4 linked regions of the Rattus norvegicus genome follow. The main gene of each other region encodes a partner of the protein of the gene in region 3 in a complex. Links are inferred from orthologs where the notes say so. Each region holds a gene or a part of one and is shown on either strand. Other genes may lie near its edges.

Region 1 (4,056 bases), on a different chromosome or scaffold from region 3:
TTTCTCAATTGCCCTGCCCTTATTTTTCTAATAGCTCCTGACCTATTTTTTAAAGTGTAGATGGAATACTGTGTATAACAACTTAACACGAGAAAACTTATTATGAAATATAAATATTATTAAAGGGTAATTAACAATTTGTGAAAGATGATGCCTTGCTCTGTAGGTTTCAAGCAGGTATATGATCAGGCCAGTAGTCAAGAAACATGACAAATCTGGCCCCTCTTCGCAGATTTCAAGTCGTCAACACATTCTAGAGGGACCTAAGACTATAAAACTTACCTGGTGTAGAGACTCAAAGAATCTCTTTGTCCATCGTCTGGGTTTACACAGTACTACAAATCGGAAACCTTTCTGTGCTGGCTTCAGGTTAATAGTACGCTGGGTCAACAGCAGGATGGACTAAGGTGCTGCAATGTCAATACATGTTAACAGTGCCCAGAAACCACAGCCTGCTTCTTACACTGTTTTATGGGCTGTTTCCATGAAACCAAAGATACTTGGCTCTCCTGGAAGCTGGCTGGCAATTCCTCAGTCCTGGCTAAGGACCATGGCACTTCATCGAGTCATTCTGGCACTCTGCCGAGTGGCTTGCTTGTCTCGCCTGGCTGGGCTCTCTACGCGGTGCACAGTAGTCTCCACCCGCAGGGATGACGACGCCCTGACGTGGCGGGAGGACGTTTCCATGCACTGCGAGGAGGTTTCCACGTGCTGGGAGGACACCTCGAGGAATTGAGGGAGTCGCTTCGCGGAGGGGGTGAGGGAGGGTCCCTCTCGGTGGCGCTGGGAGGTCTCCACTTGCCGGGAAGACGTTAGAACCTGCCGGGAGGACGTCTCCACGCGGTGGGATGACGTTTCCTCGCGGTGGGACGACGTCTCCATGCGGACAGTCGATGTCTCCTTGTGGCGGGTGCTTTCCACTCGCGGGACGGAGGACTTGCTCCTAAGGGGCGAGGCCATCCTGCCCGTACACTTTGGTCAGGAGGAACAAAGAAGCCCAAGGATCATGCTCTGCGTCACGCCACCCGGGGGAAGGTGACGTCAGAGAGGTGTATTACATCAGAGTAGGCAGCAGGACTCAGACCTGAAATCAGAGAAGCCCTCCGGCACGCCCCGCTCGATATCTGCGCGCGCAGTCGGCCCGGTCCGCACAGATGGGCGGGGCCACTCTTCCCCAAAGTGAAGTTGTCCCCGCCCTCGTGTCCCACTCTGCCCCGCGACCGGAAGTAGGACCCGTGACTTCCGGATTCTCCTTCACCAATCCGGGCTGCGGTTGGGTCGGGTTGGTAGTGTTTGCGCCTTTCTGCTTGCTATGGCCGCGGCCGTCGCTATGGAGACAGGTGCGTTGTGTTTTGCACGGGAATGGTCCTTCGCCCCAAAATCCTCTCCCGTTTCCCTTCCCCTGCGCCGTCTTCCGGGCTCAACTCCTCATCCTTAGAGTTGGGACCGGCGGAGGAGAAGGCGGTGTTGCCCCCCAGAATATGGCCTGTAGGACCAACTTTGCTCCTGTGTTGCTCTAACCCCTACTCCAACCCTGACTCGCGGGGCGGGCCGGGGCGCATAGAAAGGACTGAGACCTTCCACTGTCTGCTCTTTGGAACTTCTCCAAACTTGCCTGAAATGTCGGTAACCTGTGTATTCTAATGCATATCACCGTCTTCTCTCCATTGTTTAATCATTCCTGCTTCGTTTTTGTGTAGCACTTTGTTTTTGCTTAACGTAATTAGTTGTGGTTATAACAACATAGGGAACCGTACAGCTATTGCAGACTATCCGATAATCTCCGCTCACGTCCTTCCACAGTGGCGTACAGGTTCTACATATTTTTTCCTCAACGAACTTTAAAGGATTTTTTTATTACTATTTTTGTTTTGGAAACAGGGCTCACTAAGTAGTGAATTAAACTAAATTTCTAAGGAAGTTTCTTCCACACTTTGATATTTGAGTTCATTCATGAGTGTGCATGTGTGTGTGTGTTTATGGGGGTGAGCGGCGGTGCATGCCAAGGTTAGAGGACAACTTGCAGAAATCGGTTGTCTTCCTACAACCCTGTAGGTTCCAGGAATCGAACTCAGGTCATCAGACTTTGCAGCAAGCACCTTTACTTGCTGAGCTGTTTGACCTGCGTTTTATTTTTGTTTCTACAAATCAATGTTTGTATTGTGACTTTTATTTTGGGTGATCGTTCCTTCCTTCTTTCTCTTTTTTTTTTTACTGTCTTTTCTCCTAGATGATGCTGGAAATCGACTTCGGTTTCAGTTGGAGTTGGAATTTGTGCAATGTTTAGCCAACCCAAATTACCTTAATTGTAAGTTAAGTACATCATTAACTTAAGTAGCTCACTAGATCTTAATGGTTTCTGAGAAGAGATGCAATTTGTAATAGTATTTATTTACTTCGATGTGTTTGGGGTTTTACTTGTGCTGGTCTGTAAGTATCAACTGAGCAAACAAGGGCTTGTGTTTTTTAATCCCTTGTGTTTTGTCGGTAGGGATGTTAAGAAGAGCTACTTTACTTAAGAGATTACAGATCAGCAGCCCAGCAGTGGTTGACATACAGAGTGTTTCTTTGTGTCTTTCAGTTCTCGCCCAAAGAGGTTACTTCAAAGACAAAGCTTTTGTTAATTATCTTAAGTACTTGCTTTACTGGAAAGAACCAGAATATGCCAAATATCTAAAGTAAGTTTAATTTTTAAAATCCCAAAGCTGTGTGTACTTTATTATAAATACTAAGTGCTATTATTTAGCAGTTTTCTCGGTGTCAGAATGGAAAACAGCATTTGGGATCTTTCTGCTTTTAGTTGATGTAAGACGCTGTTATCTCTAACTTGGGTTGATTATGACAGGAATTTCATTTATTTCTGCTACCATTCTTACCTCACTCCCTTCAAACAAAACCAAAGAACTGTCTACGTGGGAGCCAGCTTACTCTCTTGGCAGTGTAAGTCAGAGCATACTGTTCGTGCAGGCTAAGATCCAGTGAACTGTTGTAGACTACAGTTCTAATGTAATTTGGTCGTGTCTAACCATGTCACTTAGCACTGCCCCTGTCTTTCTGGGGTTTTGAGGCCTAACAACCCATAACCTGTGACGGTAGGAAGAACTGTTTCCTGAGAGTCTTAGAGGTCCTGCCTTTCTTTGTGGTGTCCTTTGTTTCAATCACTGTGCGTATTAACTCACTGTAAAAGAACAGACACAACAATATCACATCAAACTCTGCTTTGACTTAAAAAGAGAAAAGAAAGCCAAGCTGGCTTTAATCCCAACATTTGGGAGGCAGAGGCGGGCGCATGTGTGAGTTCAAGGCCAGAGCTGCTTCCAGGACAGCCACTCTACCCAGGTAAACCCTGTCTAGACACTGCCCCAAAGGAGGGGACAACAACAAAAACCCCAGAAGTAGCTTGGTGTCCCTTTAATCCCAGCTCTCAAGAGGCAGAGTCAGGCAGATCTCCGTGAATTTGAGGCCAGCCTGATTATGTTGCAAGCTTCAGGCCATTCAGGGCCACACAGAGAGACCCTATTTTAAAAATTAGAGGAAAACATTTCAAACCTTTTTTTTTTTTTTAATCGTAGTCATTTTTCTGACTTGATTCCTGGGCTGCCTGTAGATTTGCTCTTCATGATGCAATTCTAGATTCCTCTAGGAATCCAAATGATAGGCTTGAAATTACTATTAGAAAAGTATGGGGTTGGGGATTTAGCTCAGTGGTAGAGCGCTTGCCTAGGAAGCACAAGGCCCTGGGTTCAGTCCCCAGCTCCGAGAAAAAAAAAAAAAAGAAAAAAAAAAAAAGAAAGAAAAGTATAACATGTTACATGTTAGCAAACTTTTAGCCACCTTCAAGCTCAGTCTCTCCAGCCCAGCTGTTGAAAGATGATTGTCTCCGCTCTGTTGGAGGCTCCCTATGATCATAGGTCCCTCTACTATTAGAGGCAGCTTACTCCATTGATAGCCAGAGGTAAGGGAGCTCTTCTTATATACTCTGATCAAATACACCTCCTTGTAGCTCTAAGCCGTTTGTAGGCTTGTTCCTTATTCTGTTCATCTGTGTCCTCTTGG
Region 2 (4,265 bases), on a different chromosome or scaffold from region 3:
AGAACATTTTAAGACACTGAACAACTGTATAGACAGAGTACCAACTCTCATGATTCTTACTCTCAGAGTTCACTTGCTTCTCAAAATAACCATAGAAAGTAAGGATGGCAGTATAGTAATGTATGCCTTACATGGCTTAGCTGCTCCAGGCACTAGAGCTCAGGTTGTATTAATGTGTCACATAACAAATATAACGTTTGTTTCCCTCATTTTACAGATGAGGAAACTGAGTCACAAAGAGGTAAAAGACTGGCTTCGAATCCTGAACAGCAGGACTTTATTCCTAGCTTATTAACCACAAGGCCAGATCATTTCGTTTTTACCTTTTTATTATAACTTAAAAAGAGAGGGTGAGGTTGATGTCTATCCAGCTCTGATTTCTCTAGTCCTAGAGTTTCTCGATGTACCCAGAGGCCTTATGGAATAAATGAGAGTGCATTGGAATTTCTTTCTTTTTCTTTTCTTTCCTTTCTTTCTTTTGCCAACTTTCTCTTCCAAAGAATTCGAACTGATTTCCAAGTAATTCTGGGTTTTGAAGTGAACCTTCCTGTGCTGCACATTCCCCAGCCAGCAGAAAGCTAGGGCCAAGGCTTGGGTCATCTTAACCGGGGCATCCAGCAGATGGCGCCATCTCAGTAGCCACCAGCTGGCCGCCGGGTCCCCGGGGCTCCGAAAGCTTCCCTGCCCTCCCTCACCGCCTTCTCTCTCCCCCCCTCCCTACGGAGCCCGGCCCACGTGACCTCACGGCGGCCAATGGGCGAGCAGAGAGGGCGAGCTGGTCCCTGTGGCCGCCATTAAAGCGAAGGGAAAACCCGTGAATTCGGATTAAAGGGGGAAAAACACCGCCCGCTGGGCCCACAAAATGGGGGAGACTACGGCGTCCAGGCGGTGAGGCGGCAGGAGAGCAGACGTTAGGCAGGCTTGGCCCAGGGACAACACGAGGACAGAGCCGGAGAATGGACTGAGCCCGCAGACACCGCCACCACCTCCGCCGCTGAGGAGACTCTGGGCTTAAGGACATCGCCGCTGCCGGGCCGGGGGCCCGGGCTGCTCTGCCGGTCCTCGCCCTTCCCGCCCCTCCGCGGGCGTCCCCGGGCCGCGGAGAACCCTCCCGGGCGTCAGGGCTCGGCCTGCTCCCACTCCGGCTCTGACTATTTATCGTGTCCCTGATTGTTATTTTTTTTTGTTTTTCGTTTTTTCTTTTTTAAATCTTTTTTTTTTTTTCTGGTGGAAGGGACAGACATCCCTTCCCCTCCTCTCCAGAGAGGGACGCGCGTCCGCGGGCTCCGCAGTCCCGGCGGCCGGCCGAGCGCGGCGCGGCCCTCCCGCCTGCGGCCTCGGCCCCGGGCGGCTGGGTGCCTCCGGGCGGCGGGGGCCGCGGCGGCGCCGGGGGGCGGCGGGGAGGGCGGGCGGCCCGGCGGCCTCCTCCCCACCGCCCCCCGCCCTCCCCGGTGTCTGTGTTTCTCTCTCTGGTCGGAGGCGGCGGTAATGGCGGATGGTGGGTTGTGGCGCCGGCGGCGGCTGCTGTGAGGGACGATGAGTTCCTCCTTCGTGTCGAACGGGGCCAGCCTGGAAGATTGTCACTGTAACCTCTTCTGCCTGGTGAGTGCGGGGGCCGCGGGCGATGGGGGAGGGGGCCGCGCCGTGCGCCCTTGGGCCGTGGGGGAGGGGGTCCGGGTCGCATCCAGATGCCGGTGTCCCCGGGCTAGGCCCCGCCGCCGGAGTCGGCCTTCTCCGAGGCTCTGCGGCCGCCCCCGGGAGACAGCGTCCGCTCACCCACCGGCCAGGGCTCTGCTAGGAAGAGTCTTGCCTTTTTTTTTTTTTTTTTCTTTAAAGTCTTTCCCCTCCTCCTGTCTTGTTTTGGAGTCTTTTTCTCCATCGTAGTCTTGTCCTTAACTTGGGTTCTTATCTGGCCGGATAGTAATATTTTCTTATGTGCTTCTTGCTTGCCCCCCCTCCACCCCCCGCCCCTTGTATGGAACAGCGTATCCCTTTTCCACACTTTCCAGGATTGCCCCTGCCTGCTTCACTGCCTTTACGCCCTTCCCTTGTAAGTGGGCTTCTCTTAAACAGGACCCCCCAAAACTTATGTATTAAAACCCTCTTCGTTTTATAAGTTAAACTAACACAGGGGTAGTTTCCTTATGGGTGACTTCAGATCTTTGTGTAAAAACAGTGTTTGCCAGTTCATATGTTTTCTTTTTAAACTTTGAAAACATTTTGCCATTTTGACAATTTCTAGCCATCTTGCTTTTATTAGAACATTATGTTTTTGTGAGAGTGGAGGGGCTAGTGGAGGAGGTACTGTGGTTTCGCACTAAACGTTCTATATTTGTCAGTTTTGCTTACGTTTTAAGAATGTTTTGAGCTGGCTGTTCCTTTTATTGAACTGAAAAGTGTGGGGAAGCTGGAATTAGGGATGTTCTAGTATGTATATGTAGGTCGGCCCAAATCGGATAACACCCAATAGTTAAGACTTTTTGTCAAAAGTACCAACTGTTGCAAATATCTAGTCCTGAATTAAACGATATCCGAGCTTCGTGAATGACTTTAAGTTGGAGTGACTTTTTCATTTTTCTTGTGCTGTGGGAAATATTAAGTCTATCATAGGTAAGTGAATTAAGTGGGTGGAGCATAACTAGTTGGCAAGCGTAAACTGCCAGTCATGTATCAGCAGTTTCATTTTTGGCACCGTATGCTTTCTGTCACCAAGTTAGAGTAAAGAATTATGAATTTCCTTTGTTGAATCTCTTTCACGATATGGTAAATGGGGATCTTTAACGTACTTCTGCCTTACAGATTAGACTGGTTTTCTCGACAGTGTCCATTAATCAGCATCTCATCACATGTAGTAAGATGTACAGCAGGTTTAACGTTTCTGTCTTCCCCAACTGGATCTATTTTTGGCACTTCGGTTTTTTTGAAGATAGATTAGCACAAATCTGACAGCTCCTTGGAAGTAGTTCTTTTCCTGAAGATGTGTGCTCGTGGGGAATTAGCAGGCTTTTTTTTTCTTTTCAGAAAAACATTCAGAGTCTTTTCATTAGAGCCATGACGTCTTACGACGTTGCAATGAGGGCCTTTACTTTTCAGTTCACCAGGGAGCGACTGTGACTGACGGCTAGAGAGGAATGTAGGCTAGAGACGACAGACAGGCTTACCATCATTGTTTCCTTGGTCGGCTTCCGATATGCTGTGTTTATTACAGACTGGCTACTCACGGGCATCTTTGATATTTTATTTAACAGTTTTGTATTCTTTTCCTTCAGTTCTTGTTGGTTGAAACATTAAAATTGGCCATGGTGTTTTGTTTGTTTGTTTGTTTGTTTGTTTTTTTAATTTTGTCAACTTTCAGTTCTTAAGCATGAATTGAAAATAGTGATTTTAATGAATCAAAGACTTTATAGTGAATATATATTTATATATAAATATGTAGTAACATAATATATTATATTTAATAATCGATATTGTTTATTTGAGTGAATATACAATAATATAGATATTATGCTTTCTTTTCCTTCAGGCCGACCTGACAGGAATTAAGTGGAAAAGATATGTATGGCAAGGCCCAACTTCTGCCCCTATTCTGTTTCCGGTGACAGAAGAAGACCCCATTTTGAGCAGTTTTAGTCGATGCCTTAAGGCAGATGTACTCGGTGTTTGGCGGCGAGATCAAAGACCTGGAAGAAGAGAATTGTGGATATTTTGGTGGGGTAAAGATCCCAATTTTGCTGACCTTATTCACCATGACTTATCAGGTGAAAGCAATTTATCCTTTTTCAATGTGCCTTAGCAACGTTGTATACTTTCCCCAATGTGCATATGCTGTGGTGGGCTGTCTTGTCAGTGGGAAGCTATAAGAGCAGTTGCCATGCTCTGTTTAACCATCCTTGTTTTAGTTTCCTCAAGTTAGCCATGTAGATTACAGCCCAGCTCCCTTCTGTAGTTTCTCACAGACAGTTTGTATCTAGGGAAAGCATTTTCATTAACCTGAGAAAAATGGAATCTGGAAGCATGGTGTTTTTCATAGTTATATAATAGTTTTGAAGTCAAGTGTAACTCACCTTTGAGTCTATTTTGCTATGTTCTTTTTGTCTAACCCTGTGGGCGGGTCTAGAAATGTAACTTTGGCATATATTTTCAAAAGTATAGTTTTATTTTAATATTATTTAGGATTATGTGTTAACCCAGGGAGGTATATGCTGTTTTTTGGGGGGTGGATGGGAGTGTCTTTTAGATACTGCTTCATCAAAGAATAAATTACT
Region 3 (3,500 bases):
TTGTCATTTTGCCTTATAACTTTGCATTAGCAAGAAGGAGATTTAATCAAGAGCCCTTTACTGTGTCTGGGATAGCTTTGCTGCCTGTTCTTTTGTTTGTTTGTGTTGTTTGTTTATTGTATTTATCTTATGTGATTTGCACTTTGCCGGTATCTGGGCAGTTATCTGCTGTGCCTGATGCTGAGGAAGTTAGGATCTCCTGACGGAGTTACAGAGGACTATGAGCCACCATGTAGGTGTTAAGAATGGAACCCAGGTCTTATGCTCTTGACTCCTGAGCCATCTCCCCATCCTGTCACCTAGCTTTAATTCCGTTATTCTCTGCAATCCTACCTTGTCCTTATATCAAAGATTAACTATGGATTTCTTGGTAAATAACAATATCTGTCTTAATTTTTAAGCTACTCTATAGCTATTATGAAAAGCATTAAAATATGTAGTAAAGAAAGAATATTTGATACTCAGCCTGCTTATATTGCAAGGATAAATTGCAGGCAGTTTCTCTTATTGTTTATGAATATTGCTGCATTTGTAAGTCTTAGACTACTGGAGTTCAGAGGGTGTCAGAGTGTGCCTAGATGTGAAATGGTCATGATTGCAACGTAGAAATCACTAATAAAACTTAAGGTTATTAGTGTTGGTATACTGATGACAGATGGTACATTTAAACGTATTCTTTTTTTAGTTATCCAAGCATTAGGGGAACATCTTAAATTAAGACAACAAGTTATTGCTACTGCTACAGTCTATTTCAAGAGATTCTATGCCAGGTATGGTTGTTTTATTTATTATTTTTAATGCCTGGTTGGAATTCTTTTCTAATTTCCATGTACAATATATAAAATAAGTAAATCACTTGTTTACTGTAGAATTATGATTCCCAAAGTCCACCCCCACCCCAGTGTGTTTTCTAAATAGTCATCATTTAACTCTTGTCTAATCATATTTTAGGTATTCTCTGAAAAGTATAGATCCTGTATTAATGGCTCCTACATGTGTGTTTCTGGCATCCAAAGTAGAGGTATAAAACAATTTTCTGTTCTTCATGAAAATATTGATATGTCTGGTTTATCATAGATAGATAGATAGATAGATAGATAGATAAATAGATAGATAAATAGATAGATAGATAGATATTGCTTTTGTATGGTTAATCATAGTTATCCTATGATAGTTTATAGGAACTAATATGCACATCTTGAAAATGTTTTTATTTTTTTAATAAATATTTTATGTATCAGATGATTTAATGAGCCCTTTGCAAGTTCTTTTTTTTTCTTTTTTTTTTCATCTTTATTAACTTGGGTATTTCTTATTTACATCTCTATTCCTTTGCAAGTTCTAATTCAATCCTGTAACTCTGGAGTATATGGCAGTAGTATCCATGTGGGGTCAAAGGACCAAAGACCCTGACCCTGGTTTGACCCTGAGATCAGGGCCAGGGAAAGAACACCTTGACTTGAGCCCAAGCAAGAAACCAAGGCCAAGAAAAAGAATCCTTCCAGTCCCTGAGTTTGCCCCAAGATCAGGCCCATGCTACCCTGGAAAACAATCCTGCCCCCCACCCTCAAATACAGCCTACCTTCTTAGGTTTCTGCTGCTTCTCCTCCTTACCCAAGCAGGGTTGCAAACACCTTCTCTTGTCATTCCCAATAAGTCTTTATGTGAACTTTGTTGTGCAGTGTGACTTTGTGGTATTCCTTGGCTCCTGACTGGGAAGATGCCTTTCCTTCAGAGATGCAACACTGGGGAAAGGAATCCCCTCAGAACTGTAGCATTTACAATTGTCATTTTAGAAATGAGGAAACTAGGGCATAGAGAGAGCAGTGTTCGTATACTGGGTCAGTGGTTCCAATAGTCTAGATCTTCATCCTGTAACTTAATTGCTTGCTGTCTTTAAAAGACTATTTATCTGAGTGTGGTGGTGCATGCCTTTAATCCCAGCACCTGGGAGGCAGAGGCAGGTGGATCTCTATGTATTCAAGGCCAGCTTGAACCACAGTGAATTCTAAGTTCCAAGATAGCCAGAGGTTTGTAGTAAGACCCAGTCTTAAAACAACCAAAAAAAAAAAAAAAAAAAAAAAAAAAAAAGAAAAGAAAAAAGAAAAAGAAAGAAAGAAAACAAAGGAGGTAGCACAGCTTATCTACTATGGCCTGAGAATGTCTCTGCTCCTCACCCACATGCTTTTTGTTTACACCTGACTTCTCTGGTAACAAGCCACTGTGGGAGAGCAAAAAGGTAGAAAAGACTTTATAGACTCCAGCAAGGAAGTGTGGATAGTGAGAGCAGAAAAGGTAAGTAAGAGAAGACAGAGAAGGACTTGGACTGGGAACTGCATTTCTGCTCAACTTACTGTTTGCAATATTATTGAGAAAGTGTAACTACCCCCTAAAGCCCAAATAGTAGCAGATTCTGAGAACTGGCTTTTTTCTTAGCTAATCCACACAATTCCTAGTCTATTGTTTCTGTTCTTAGGTAATGTCTTTAGGATAATTGTATCCATGTGAATTGAATGACTTTAACCAGTAAGTTTGTTTCTTTTGTGTTCATTTTATCTTAGAAACATTCATGACATCTTGATTATCTCTTAAGTATGCAGAATTGAATATATTAGAATACTAAAACCCTTTCTAGGAACCTAAGTTAACTCTGTCCATGAGAGAGATAAAGTTTGAATAAATCTAGTTATAAGTCAGTCTATAAACAAGTCAGTTATAGTGTTTACCTAGTTCCCATGAGGCCTGGTTTCAGTCCTGAGGACCAGATGTGTATCGAATGTCTTTTTGAATAAAGAGGTCTTGTAGATGAGGTGTATTTTTAGTTGTGGTTGTTGAGTTACTTTTTCTTAAAGTTTTTTTTTATACAATGTATTTTGACCATGTTTTCTCCCCTACCCTAGCTTCTCGCAGATCCTTTTCCCTACTCACCCAGCTTAGTGTTCATTTTCTGTGTCTCAAACAAAGCAAAAACTAAAACAAAAAACATAAGACAAATATCGAAACAAAGCCAGTAAGAAACAAAAAAGCCTTCAAAAAAAAAAAAAAATCAAGCAACCAAGGACAAAAGCCATGTAGTTAATTTTGTGTTGTCCAACTATTCCTGGGCCTGGGGACTGCTTTAGAGTGTGTTGATTTGACTAGGGTCACTCCATTGGACCTTTGCCAGTAGGTATCAATTCCAGGTAGCATTTTCATTTACCCTCTCAGTATGTTGCATTACATTTTAACTCTAACCAAATCTTTCTGTTTTGTCTAATTGATTAGAAATTGTGGGCAAAATCATGTTTAACATACTATCTTCAGTTTTGAGTTTTTAGTTTTAATTATTGGGTTTTGAAGGTTAAATATAAATATATGTGCGCACATAAAGTTATAGATTACGTTTTTGTTTTTTTTTTTTTTTTTTTTTGGTTCTTTTTTTCAGAGCTGGGGACCGAACCCAGGGCCTTGCGCTTCCTAGGCAAGCGCTCTACCACTGAGCTAAATCCCCAACCCCAGAT
Region 4 (4,170 bases), on a different chromosome or scaffold from region 3:
GCTCCAAAGGGTCTAACGCCCTCTCCCGGCCTCCTCAGGCATAGCTACATATACTGCAACCACTAACACAGATGCGTATACATAAAAACAGAATAAACTTAAAACAGAAAGCCTGCCTCATAAGCCAACTTACAGATGAGCTCCACACCTCCGTCCCATCCCTTGTTTCTGTACAACAACCTCAAAGCTATTCCGCAACTTGACAATGAAGGGTCTTCCCACTGCCCATCCCCACCCAAACATACCTGGGTGGAAGAAGACCAGTCTCAACTGCCATGGCTAAGCAGTCATAGAGAAAGGAAATCCTTTTCGGGCTATGTTGGCCGTGAATAAATTTAACAATCCACTGGACACACTGTTCATGAGACTCCTAAAAGTCAGAAAACACTTTTATTTTGGGCCTGAGGTTTCGATTTCAAACTCACACATATTATACCTGAAAGTCAATCAACACTGTAAAGGAAATAGTTCTCCGTGAACATCCATAAATGAAAATGATTTCTGAAAGAGCACGATGAAAAGAGTCAGATTCGGGGCTGGGGATTTAGTTCAGTGGTAGAGCGCTTACTTAGGAAGCGCAAGGCCCTGGGTTCGGTCCCCAGCTCCGAAAAAAAGAACCAAAAAAAAAAAAAAAAAAAGAGTCAGATTCAGCCATGGGCACGGGAGTGCCGGCCTATAAACCTAGTACCTGAAGGGGGAGGCGTGGGTAAGGCCACCCTGGGCCGTGTATAGATTCCTAAGTCAACCCGAGTTATAGCTAGCAGAGACTGTCCTCAACCAAATAAATAAGTATTTGTTATATCAATTGTAAAATCTTACCATTATATAAATTAAACTTTCACCATGAGACCTCCAAAATAGTTAAGATTATATTAACAGACTCATAGCCGACTGAAAACTCATTTATTTGTATCTTTCTATATCGCTACATAAACATCCTGTAAGGTCGCACAGTAAGTCACTAAATGCTTAGGGAATTACATTAGCAATTTCATGTGCCGTTAAGGAGCTCGGCACACACGGCACTTGCTGTGTTGAGTTTGATTCCCAGGACCCATATAGTAGAGAAAGATTCTCCCTTATAAGCTGTTTTCTGACCTGTACACAAGTACTGTCACACACACACACACACACACACACACACACACACACACACACACCAAAAAGAAAAAAAGCCCAACAAATATTTAAAAATTAAAAATGCATAAAATATGCTAAATATTGAAAGAAACACAAAGTAACATTTTACCAAGATAAAACTCAGTGCTTGATACACAAGGATAAGAAATTATTACTATTCCAGTGTATGCCTTTAAGGAATTAAATCAGTTGTTGGTGTTGAGAATGTAAACTAGATAACTCTCATAAGAAATAATTAGGTAATTTCCACAAAATCATAAATTGCTGGGGTGGTTATGAACGCTTACATCCCAGTACTGAGGAGGAAGAGACAGGAGGGTCATAAGCCCATAACCAATCTGGACTACATATCAAGTCCCAGGCAAATCAAGGTTACAGAGACTGTGTCATGTGTGTTACACACCTCCCCTCTGTAACTAAGGAAAAAAACAAAACAACTAGCTTTTGATTATCAATCCGATGCCTGGTCAATAGCATGATTTACTGTGACACTACTTAAAGTAGAAAACTGAAGAGAAACATCTAGCTAAGTGTGGTGGTCCATGCTATGATGCCAGGAAGCAAAAGAAGGGAAATGCTAAAAGTTCAACTCTAGCCCGGGCTACATAGCAAACCTTTATCTGGAAAAAAAAGAAAGAAAAATTTGAAAGCAAGAAGGTAGTTAGTAAATAAAGGAGGTAAGGACACATAACAATATGCTACACCACTATAAGAAATAAGAAATAGGGTCTGGAGAGATGGCTCAGTGGTTAAGAGCACTGACTGTCCTTCCAGAGGTCCTGAGTTCAATTCCCAGCAACCACATGCTGGCTCACATGTGGTTATGTGTAATGGAATCTTCTGGTGTGTGTCTGAAGACAGCTACCGTGTATTCATATAAATAAAAATAAATAAATCTTTTTTAAAAAAGGGGGTGGGGCGTCAAAAGTCATTAATTGGATGATGAACAGGAAATGTCTTACCTGAGAAAGTCCATTCCAAAACTGCCGGAAGGCTGCCAAACAGCTAATAAGTTTTGTTTTTTCATCCTCGGGGGTATCCATAAACATGCTGAAAAACAAAAATCGCATTATTTGCTACTAGTTTTAAAAGAGTACACAGCCAGTAAGGTAAATGTTTTTAACTCCCCCAAACCAACTTAAGTGACATCTAACAAAGATAAATCTACAAACAAAAACCCCACAAAAATCTGCCTGCCACATACTCACCCTGGGAAAGCCTCTTCTATAATTTCTGTTTTCTGCAAACAAACAAATAAAAAATAGTAAACGATCTGAATACTAAAAGGAGGTGGGTTGGAAATGTCCCCTAAAGAAATATTCTCGGGCAATATTGTGCAAGACATTATCGGGACCGCGACGAGAACTAACTATACTTTCTCGGATCTGACAGCAGTCCGGGGGACCGCCACCCTAGTTCAAACGCCCATGTCAACACAGTGGGCAGGGAAGAAGCTGCCCCAAGCCCAGAGTTGGACCTGCAGCCTGCCCCTCCCGGAGCCATTGCCCTGGGTTACGGACAGTTGCACTCACCACCACCTCCTCGAAAATGCTCTGCAGTTGCGTCTCCATTGGTACCATCGAGTCCCGGCCTTCCGGGGTACCCGGCAACCACCGGGTGAACCCCTAGACCTGGGAAGAATGGAGCGAGGGGGCGGAGCCACCAACAGGAAGCCGCCGCTCTTTCTGTTACTTCCTTTGGTGCTCCGCAAATGAGCCTGCCCGGTGCTCACCCGTTACCAGCCCCTCCAAAATCCGTATCTCTGCTTGATGGTTCTGCGTGCTGATGTGGCCCGCAAGCTGACAACGCTGCTTGATCGCTGACACAGCCTTGGACAGCAAGGCCACCACCTCCTGGCTGGAGCCGGAGCTGCGTCCAGCCTGGCTTCTCGGACGCGGCTCCTTGTAGTTCACTTATATATAGCCCAGAAGCACAAGGGCTGCAGCCAGAACCAAGTGGGTGACTGTCAAGAGCTGACCTCGTTGAAGCAGTTGATAACACGTTATTCTTGCCCAATAGAATCCAAGTCTTCACTATGGTAGCCTCAGTAGCTAGCACAGTGATGGGTATGTCGTCATCTTTTATTGGATGTTGAAAAAAAAAAACCCGGAATAAACGCATTATTATTAATTTGCAAGTAAGTGGCTGTATTAAGCACGTCATTGTAAAACAGACTATTTCCCACCATCCTGGTAAATTTCTGACATCATATGTGCCCACTGGCTCAGTCACACAGCCCTACATCCAGAAACCATTTTCAAACTATATCGTCGTTAATTTTCCACATCCTTGATATTTATGACTAGACTGTTTAAATTTGTCTACTATCAGACAATTTCTCATAAGTTTATTTGTGGTTCGAATACATTTTGTATTTAAGTTTTTCACCTTATATAGCCACCATTTTTCCTTGACATACTTGCTTTCTCCCACCTCTCTTCGCACCCCTCCTCTTTTTTCTCCTCTCCCTTCTCCTTTTGTCTCCCCCCAGATTTCTCACTTCCTCTCCTCTTGTCTTTCAAGACAGGGTCTAGTATAGTCTGGGCTAACCTGGAGCTCACTATATAGCCCAGGTTAGCCTTGAAATCACAATCTAAAAATCTGCCTGAACCTCCTGAGCGATGGAGTGTTTTCTTGTTTTCTAAAACACTCTCTTTTGCTGTAGATTGATTTTTTTTTAAGATTTATTTATTTAATGTATATGAGCATACTGTTGCTGTCTCCAGGCACACCAGAAGAGGGCACCAGATCCTATTTCAGATGGTTGTGAGCCACCATGTGGTTGCTGGGAATTGAACTCAGGACCTCTGGAAGAGCAGTCAGTGCTCTTAACCACTGAACCATCTCTCCAGCCCCTGTAGATTGATTTTAATGAATACTTTTATTTATTTTTTGTTATTGTCTCTCCTAAAGCCATGCATGGTGCTATTCATACGTTTTCTTCCAGAAACTTTGTTCTAGTTTTGGTTTTTAAGTCCATACTTTTCTCGAAGTAGCTTTCATGACTGCTGGTCAGTTTTCATACAATTT

Evidence for each region.
Region 1: Ccnc (region 3) and Med31 share a complex: the UniProt entries of both Homo sapiens proteins name them as parts of the mediator complex. The link is inferred for Rattus norvegicus from reciprocal best matches to the Homo sapiens genes CCNC and MED31.
Region 2: the proteins of Ccnc (region 3) and Med13 are in contact, whole or in part, in a cryo-EM structure (PDB 8TQC), measured with the Homo sapiens proteins. The link is inferred for Rattus norvegicus from reciprocal best matches to the Homo sapiens genes CCNC and MED13. Residues at the interface, in NP_005181.2 of Homo sapiens: Gln7, Gln13, Trp14, Leu16, Gln19, Lys23, Gln26, Lys27, Arg75, Tyr76, Glu144, Leu145, Asp147, Cys148, Ser221; in NP_005112.2 of Homo sapiens: Tyr1342, Ser1630, His1631, Val1732, Lys1733, Thr1734, Thr1736, Phe1738, Gly1739, Pro1740, Gly1741, Ala1743, Arg1897, Met1898, Ile1901, Asp1905.
Region 4: Ccnc (region 3) and Med23 share a complex: the UniProt entries of both Homo sapiens proteins name them as parts of the mediator complex. The link is inferred for Rattus norvegicus from reciprocal best matches to the Homo sapiens genes CCNC and MED23.

The regions. Positions count from the first base shown.
Region 1 is NC_086028.1:57,336,090-57,340,145, reverse strand, and holds the start of Med31 (mediator of RNA polymerase II transcription subunit 31), read left to right. Parts: upstream 1-1,256; 5' UTR 1,257-1,312; coding exon 1,313-1,340; intron 1,341-2,230; coding exon 2,231-2,308; intron 2,309-2,581; coding exon 2,582-2,678; intron 2,679-4,056. Other genes in the region: C10h17orf100 (uncharacterized protein C17orf100 homolog), read right to left, coding at 559-960. UniProt on the Homo sapiens protein: Component of the Mediator complex, a coactivator involved in the regulated transcription of nearly all RNA polymerase II-dependent genes.
Region 2 is NC_086028.1:71,671,102-71,675,366, reverse strand, and holds the start of Med13 (mediator of RNA polymerase II transcription subunit 13), read left to right. Parts: upstream 1-1,465; 5' UTR 1,466-1,536; coding exon 1,537-1,602; intron 1,603-1,726; exon of another isoform or gene 1,727-2,610; intron 2,611-3,523; coding exon 3,524-3,758; intron 3,759-4,265. UniProt on the Homo sapiens protein: Component of the Mediator complex, a coactivator involved in the regulated transcription of nearly all RNA polymerase II-dependent genes.
Region 3 is NC_086023.1:40,066,683-40,070,182, forward strand, and holds part of Ccnc (cyclin-C), read left to right. Parts: intron 1-685; coding exon 686-770; intron 771-951; coding exon 952-1,021; intron 1,022-2,476; exon of another isoform or gene 2,477-2,526; intron 2,527-3,500. UniProt on the Homo sapiens protein: Component of the Mediator complex, a coactivator involved in regulated gene transcription of nearly all RNA polymerase II-dependent genes.
Region 4 is NC_086019.1:22,353,955-22,358,124, forward strand, and holds the start of Med23 (mediator of RNA polymerase II transcription subunit 23), read right to left. Parts: upstream 2,801-4,170; 5' UTR 2,721-2,800; coding exon 2,673-2,720; intron 2,381-2,672; coding exon 2,349-2,380; intron 2,191-2,348; coding exon 2,103-2,190; intron 371-2,102; coding exon 246-370; intron 1-245. UniProt on the Homo sapiens protein: Required for transcriptional activation subsequent to the assembly of the pre-initiation complex. Component of the Mediator complex, a coactivator involved in the regulated transcription of nearly all RNA polymerase II-dependent genes.